Ovis aries: one gene and its partner. The protein of the gene in region 1 interacts with the protein of each later gene in a pairwise test. Links are inferred from orthologs where the notes say so. Each region holds a gene or a part of one and is shown in the gene's direction. Other genes may lie near its edges.

Evidence for each region.
Region 2: the proteins of SMURF1 (region 1) and WFS1 interact in binary tests that used the Homo sapiens proteins (3 or more experiments, as listed by UniProt). The link is inferred for Ovis aries from reciprocal best matches to the Homo sapiens genes SMURF1 and WFS1.

What each region holds. Positions count from the first base shown.
Region 1 is NC_056077.1:37,602,800-37,607,008, forward strand, and holds the start of SMURF1 (E3 ubiquitin-protein ligase SMURF1), read left to right. Parts: upstream 1-1,286; 5' UTR 1,287-1,547; coding exon 1,548-1,602; intron 1,603-4,209. UniProt on the Homo sapiens protein: E3 ubiquitin-protein ligase that acts as a negative regulator of BMP signaling pathway. Mediates ubiquitination and degradation of SMAD1 and SMAD5, 2 receptor-regulated SMADs specific for the BMP pathway.
Region 2 is NC_056059.1:103,625,052-103,628,696, reverse strand, and holds part of WFS1 (wolframin), read left to right. Parts: intron 1-1,811; coding exon 1,812-1,982; intron 1,983-3,645. UniProt on the Homo sapiens protein: Participates in the regulation of cellular Ca(2+) homeostasis, at least partly, by modulating the filling state of the endoplasmic reticulum Ca(2+) store.

The sequences.
Region 1 (4,209 bases):
CATAGCTTGTATTCTTGGATATTTCACTAGACTCATTCAAAGTCTGAGCTGCAAGGGGCCACAGAAATGATCTAGGTCTGTCCTTTTAAGTCACCGATGGAGGCTGGGAGAGGCAGCCTTGAATCCAACTCACGAGTCTTGAGCTCAGCAAGGGCAGGTGGGCATGTCAAGGGGCTCTAGGAAGAGGGCTCTATTCTGAAGACTGTGACCACAAGGAAGGTCCCCGGCTGCAGGGGATGGCTGCAAGGGATCAGAGCCTGGTTTCCTTAAGACACAAACCAAAGAAGGCATCCAGAGAACCAGGTAGTTGGTCAAAGACAAGTCTGATAAACAAACCCAGCTTTCCCTATCAACGTTTTTCCTCTTTATAACAGGTTAACGAGGGGTTTGTTTGCTGAAGAAAGCATAATGAGCTTTAGTTCCACCCTGAAACTCTGGCAGAAGTGTTAGCAGAAGGCAGGGAAACGCAGGCCTTAAAGCTACCTTTCTGTTTGGCTCAAGTGTCTGTTGACTGGATGGTGAAAACATCTACCTCTTTATCCGCCTCTCGCATCTTATTTACCTTGCCCATATATGGCACTTCCTGCGATTCTGGCAACTTTGTTACGGGTCAAGAGACAGCACTAGTTGCCCAGAACACACCTAGGGGACTTTGTCTCTTTGAGAAGTCCCTCCCTTGAATTGCATTTTTTAAGACACTCTTTACTCAAAGTAAATAAACAAACTGGAATTGCACGCCTATTCGTGCAAAGTCGTTGGTGTAGTCACAGACCTCGGTTTGCTGTAAGCCCGCTTTCAACAGCTCTCACGAGCTCAGAGCCTTAAGTGAGAGGCCTGGAAAATCGATGCCGTTCTCTGAACCTCAACGTCCGCATGCAAACCGGCTCCGTGGGAGAATGTGGCGGAGAACGAGAAAGCCCGCACGCGGGCCTCGCCGTCCCGCCCGCCCTGGGGCGTGCCCGGCGCTCGCTCCCGGCCGCCGAGGCTCTGCACGTCGCGCCGGGTCCCCAGGGCCTCCGATCCCCCTCCTCCGCCCCGGTGCGGGACGCCCCAACCACCGGCTTTGGGACCCTGTGCGCCCGGGGGCTGGGCCGGCGACGCGGGCGTGCTCCGAGCCCCGCCCCGCCGTCCCCGCGGGCGCGCGCACGCACGCAGGCGCGGGGCCGCACGGCGCGGGCGCGCGCAGGGCCGGGCCGGCACGGCGGCGGGCGCGCGCGCGGCTCCGGGAGGCGGCGGCGGCGGAAGCGGCGAGGGCGGCGGGCGTCCGGCTCTGAGGTGGTGGCGGCGGCGGTAGCGGCGGCGGCTCCGGACTGGGCTCGGCTGGGAGTGAGCGAGGGTCGGGGGCGCCGGGTCGAGCGCCGATCCCCCGGCTCGACCATCTGCCGGCCGTCCGGACGCCTGGGCCGCGGAGTTTGTGTCCCGGCTCGGACCCCGGCGCCCAGCCCGGAGCCGTAACCTTGAGGCGGCGGCGGCGGCGGGGCCGGGCCGGGCCGGGCCGGGGGGCGGCGGCGGCGCTGGATCCGCGGCTGCCCGATCGTTGGCGGGAGATGTCGAACCCCGGGACGCGGAGGAACGGCTCCAGCATCAAGATCCGTCTGACAGGTACGGCCGGCAGGAGGCCCCCGCCGGCGCCCGCTCGCAGCCCGCACGGCCCCTCCAGCAGCCCCGGAATTTCCCGCAGGGCGCCCCGGGGAGGCGGCCCTCCCCCTTGCCGGCCGCCGTCCCGGGACCGGCTCGCCCCCCTCGGCGGGCGCCCCTCACGACTCCCTCCCGGCCCCGCCCCCGCCTCCGGCCCCGCCCCCTCGCTTCTCGCCCCCACCCGCCCCCCGGCTTCCCTGCTTCCCCCCACGACCTGTCCCCTCGCGTCTCCCCTCCTGGCCTCCCTCGGTCTCACTCCCTCCATCCTTCTCCCCTCCTCGTCCCCCTACTTGGGCCTCTCGCTCGCCCCTCCCGGCCCCGCCCCCTCGCGTCTCCCCTCCTGGACCCCCTCCGTCCCCCCCATTTCATCCTCCACGCTCCCCTCTCCTCCTTGCCCCTCCGTTTCTCTCCTCCCTCCGTGCTCCTCCCCCCTTGCCCCTCACTTTACCCTCCTGGACCCCTTCCGATCTCCCCTCATCCTCCCCACTCCCCCTCACTTCTCCCCTCCTGGACCTCTTCCGTCCCCCGCCAGCCTCCTCGCTCCTCTCGCCCCCTTGCCCCTCGCTTCTCCCCTCCTGCCCCGCCCCTCACCCCCTTCGTCCCCCTCGATTTCTTCCCTCCCCCCTCACCTGCCCCCTCTCTTTTTCCTTCTCGGTCCCGCCCCTCTCTTCTCGCCAGCTTTTCCCATCCTCTGGCGTTTCCCTGTCTTCCCCCGCCCCCACCTGCCCCCTGGCTTCTCGCTCCTGGTACCCCCCCCGCCACCTATGTCTCCCCCTTCCCCCATCCGTGCTCTTCCTCTCTCCCCCCGCCCCCCACTTGCCCCCTTGCTTCTCCCCTCCGCGCCCCGCCCCTTTCTCTTGAGCCCCGCCCCCTCACTGGTTTCCCCCCGCATCCCGCCCCCCGTTTTCTACCTTGTCCCGCCCTCGCTTATCTCCCAGCCCCGCCCCCTTGCCTCTGTCTGGCGGCCTCCACCCTTTCCTTCAGCCTCTAATTCCTCCATCCAGTCTCGTAGCTTCTGCCGGTCCCGGTCCCCTCACTTCCCCTCTGGTCCAGACCTCTTCAGTCTGGGCCACTTCCTCTCTCAGGCCAGGCCACTATCTTCTCTTGACTCTGCTGCTTCAGTTCTTTGCGTTACCGTCACCCCTGTCCCACCCACCTCACCCCCCTCCCCGCCCCCGCAACACTCGCACGCACGCGCGCACACACGCACACTCTGGAGGCTTTGGCAGCTGCATTAGCGCAGGCTTTCTTGATTCACTCTCATTGAGTCTTCAATGAAATGCCCGTGTCTCCTAGGTGGCTCTGTAGTGCCACCTTCAAGGGTGAGCGCGAAGCTCTGTTCTCGGCCTGCGACGTGGTGGTTCTGGTGTGTGCCAGACGTGTCTGCCGGCCGTGCCCCTGGCTGGCGGGCTCCAGAGATCCTGGACCAGTGTGCACCCGCTTCTGTCTTTTCGTCGCTCTCCCCACTACTACTGCCCCGTCTCCCGGTTTAAATTCACACCTGAGGCTGGATTGTAGTGTTGCAAATACGGTTCTGCTGGGGGACTTTCCAAACGCAAATATTTCCAGCTCTGGAAAGGAAATATAAAGTTCAGGCTAATCCCTGTTAGGGGTTTTCCCCTGGATTTTTCTGTTCAGTGACTGGTCTGATGATGACTTCAGAGTCGGTCTGGTCAGATTCTTTAAAAAAGAGAATGAGCATTTGGGATGGCCCTCAATTATTGGTGAAATCCCTGAAAACAACAGAGAGTGATTTTTTTTCAAACTAAAATTTCTTCTGAGAGTTCTTAGTTGTTGCATGATCCATTTTTTGTTTCAAGGAAAGGGAGATAGTTTTTTTTGTAGAACGATGTCAGATCAGGTTATGATTAGATAACACAATCAGATCACAATGATTTGGACCCAAATCCAGACCCTGGTTTTGTCAATAGCAAATATGTCCCAGGGATTTTTGTTTCTGGAGAAATATAGTTCTTTATTCCAGGGCTGGTATGAAACTCTGTGTAGATGCAGTGTATACATTGTTTTATGGTTATGTAAAAGCCACGTTTTTTACTTTCTAATACTTATAAAACTTTAATGACTGACACCTTTCATTTGGTTCTCATTTGCAGCGTAATCTATAGTTGACATGAGATTGGTTTCAGGTTTCTTGTTAAGAGCAGAAGTAACTGATTTTGTGAGTTAGATAAAAGTGTGATTAATGTTTTAGAAGGACTAGGTTTTAATTACAACGTTTGTGTCAGGTGTATATTATTAATCAAGCCTAGTTAGCAGGTCTGGACCTGAGCCTTTTCCACCTGGAGTAGGGGTTGGTTCTTCCCAAATTATTTTCAGTTCCAGGAATTTATGATCTTTAGTTAGTTTTCAGCTGTGCTGGGTCCCGGTTGCTGTGCAGGCTTTTCTCTAGTTGTGACGGCGTGCTGGCTCCTCATTGCTATGGCTTCTCTTCTAGCCCAGGAGGAAGGGTTCTAGGGCACATGGGCTAGGGCCGCTGAGCCACCAGGGAAGCCAGTTTTCAGGAATTTAGATGCCACTGACGCAGAAATACTGCAAAGAGTTTTTGGACAT
Region 2 (3,645 bases), on another chromosome or scaffold:
GAAAAGTAAGTGGTTTCTGCTGCACTCGTGGCTTTTCCGCGTAGATGGTTTGGGAGTATAACATGGACTATTTAGGGAACAAAGCCATTTTCATCCTCTTTAACTTGTGGTGGGGTCTACAAGGAGATATACCATCTGGATTCTCATCCTAATTGAGGAATAGCCCAGGGAGCCAAATTGGAGGGCATGACAGGCCTGAGGTAGGAGTAGCACTTTCTGAACTGACTTTCCATCCGGTCTAAGCGGAGCAGCTGGGGACTGGGGCCCAGCGAAGGGCCCACCCAGGCAGGCACTCACTGCCAGGACGGGCGTGGGTGCTGGGGGACAGTGATGTGTAGCCTGGCCACTTGGGGATACTTACTATGTTATCCTGCCCAAGGGAAATGGTTCATTCCTGGTGTCAGGGAAAAGTGTTTCCTGAAGGTTCAAACCTCAGAAGAAAGGTGAAAGTGTGTGTGTCATAACGGGGGCCTTTTTTATCCCACTCAGATTGCGGAAGTGTTTATGGTTGTTATAGAAAACTTGTACTACATAGAGAACATAAAGATAGAAATTATCTCGAAACTCAGAAGTGCTCCGTAGTTTACTATTTTTCCTTCTGGTTTTATATTGGAATTTTTTTTTTTTTTAACATTAGGGTTATCATATACATATGTATAAAACAAAATTTATATACATTATTTTATGTATATATATTTATTATGTATGTATATCTAATGTATAGAAATTATATTTATTAACATTATTTATTATTGTATAGAATCTCCTTTCTCTGGACATTAGGCTGATGGCTTTAATGACTTAGAACGGTCATGTTCTGCTGGCCAGAATTTCTTACCAAGCCAGTCTCTCTTGCTTTAGGGCAGGTGGGATGGGCTTGCCTTGGCCAGTTGAGTCAGTGTGGCCCCCAGAATTCACGGTTGGAGCCAGTGGTCTTCCCAGAGGCCCTGAGGGGGCCAGGGCAGGCCTGGAGACTGGCCGGTGTGTGAGGGAGGGGGCCAGGTCTCACGTGGCCCACACCCTCCACCTTCTCACACTGAATGCATCCTGATCGTAAAAGAAACGTGGACTCCCGTGGAAGGTTAGGGAGATGCTCCAAAGGAGAAAAGAAATATCAGTCCTCCACCCCCATTCTCACTGTCCCCTGGGGTGGGGGTGGCCGGGCTGATGTCCCCCACGTGCAGGGGGAAAGGCGGCCTCTAAATGGCCCATGAAACCTGCTCCCCATCTTTCTGTGGGCTAGTCTTGCCCCCTGGGAAAGGGCCATCTACGCGGGGACACTGCTTCTGGCTGCCCTCGGAAGGGCTGATGCTGTGAGTGTAGGGGTGCCCCCCGTCTTGCAGCCTGGCCACTCACTGCAGTGAGACTGACTGGGGTTTGAGACCAGCTCAGCCTCTCTGACTCTGTGGCCTTGGCGCCAAGACCAAGACCACCACCCCTGGGTGCCTCAGTTTCTCCATCTGTGAGATGGGAAGAGTAGCACCCCACCAGAGAGGTCCTTGTGAGGGGGAACCTGGGAAGGGAAGGAGCCAGGAAGGTGGGGAGGCCTTGCCCAGCGCCAGCCTTCCACGGCCACTCGGCGAGCATCTGCTGAAAGCCTAGGCTGAGCCTCCCACCCTCGGGGACTCAGGCCAGACACTTGTCTGGCTGGACCCTCGTTTCTGCCCTGGTGACGAAGATGCCTGCAAAGCCACTCGTGGGAATCGCTTCCCAAGCCCCTTCAGGCGGGGCTAGCCGGGGCTGGGGCGTCCCTGCCAGCTTCCAGGCAGGCGGGTGGGCGACCCCAGGCCTCTGACGCCTCCCTCTCCCAGGCATCACCTCCGAGAATGAGCAGGAAGTGAGGCAGCTCTCCTCTGAGACCGACCTGGAGCGGGCCGTGCGCAAGGCAGCCCTCGTCATGTACTGGAAGCTCAACCCCAAGAAGAAGAAGCAGGTGGCTGTGGCGGAGCTGCTGGAGAACGTGGGGCAGGTCAACGAGCACGGTATGCACTCTGCCCGTGGGGCCTCCTGGGCTTCTGTGCCAGGATCCTGGGGGCTCTATGGGAGCTTCTCGTGGGGACCTCGCAGGTGTCCTGTAAGGCTCCGGAGCATCCTTCCTGGGTGTCCTGTTCCTGGCGCCCCTCAGGGCACCCCCCAGCTCTGGTTCTACCTGACTCACTCCACCCCTAGGGTTCTCTCACCTGCTGCCCATGGGTGGAGCTGCAGGCCTTGGCGTGTCCAGGGTGTCCTCCTCCTCCTCCTGAAGGGGACAGGGCGTGGGGAGGGTGAGAGTTGCCAGCAGCGACCTGGGTCCCTGAATCCCCGAGAGCCTCTCCAGGGCTGGCCCCATTGCCAGCCTCTTCAGTGCCCCCACCTCCTTCTAACCCGGCTTTGCGAGAAGGGCATGGGCAGCCGGAAGGACAGATGGACCAGGAGAATGGGCGTCCCTGACTGGGTGTGGTCTCTCCGTTTCCAGGAGGGTCGGGGCTGACTTCTGTCTCTTGGTAACCTTGATAAGCACCTGCCCAAGGCTCCACCCAGCTTCCTTCTGCCCCAAGGGGGAGATGCTGGGGGTGGCGGTGGGGCTAGGGCCACCTGCCACGCATCAGAGAAGATGGGTGGGTGGGCACCTCTGCCCCTTCCCCGGGCAGGACTTGTCTGATCTCTGATCCTCTGGGGCCTGACAGAGGCGGCCATGAGGCCTGGGGCTCCAGTGGCAGGACCCCCGAGAGGCATGCTCCACCTGAAAGGCCCAGCCGCCCCTCGTGGGGCCCCAGCGACCTTGTGGGGCCACGTCCCCACCCCGTTCCTGCTGCTCCCTCACCTGCTCTGGGCTCACCTGTGATCCCGTGACCCCTCTCAGTCACGGCGCCCCTCCCCTTGTGTTGTCTCGCCCTGTAGTCCAGCCCCTACCTGACCCAACCCTGCCAAGGCCACCTGGAACCTGACACGGGAGACCCCAGTGAACGCCTGCCTGGGTGTGGGTGTTGCAGGGGGAAGGTGTCGACAGAGGGCAGGATATCTCAGTCCTGGCTCAGTGTTCACCCACTGAACTAACTTCTGCACCAGGGCTGGGGACACAGGAAGGCCTGCCTAGTTGCCCTGGGGAGCTTGGTCTCTTCCAGGGAAAGATCACACCAAGGGACAATGCCAGCAAAGATGTCCGGGGGCAGGCTGTGCTGATCAGAGAGTGTGGTGTGTCCAGGGCTCAGATTGTGCCCAATGGGGCCTGGGTCACCTTGTGATGGAGGTTGAGCAGTAGGGGTTCCAAGGGTTGGCCCTTGCATAGCCCTCCAGGGCTGCATGGGGAACACTGACAAGTTTCTGGGGGCTTGCAGGGGATGGGGGCTTCCCTCATAGCTCAGTTGATAAAGAATCCGCCTGCAATGCAGGAGACCCCAATTTGATTCCTGGGTCGGGAAGATCCGCTGGAGAAGGGATAGGCTACCCACTCCAGTATTCTTGGTCTTCCCTGATAGCTCAGCTGGTAAAGAATCTGCCTGCAATGCAGGAGACCTGGGTTCGATCCCTGAGTTGGGAAGATCTCCTGGAGAAAGGAAAAGGCTACCCACTCCAGTATTCTGGCCTGGAGAATTCCATGGACTGTATAGTCTGTGGGGTCACAGAGAGTCGGACATGACTGAGCGACTTTCACTCACTCACTGC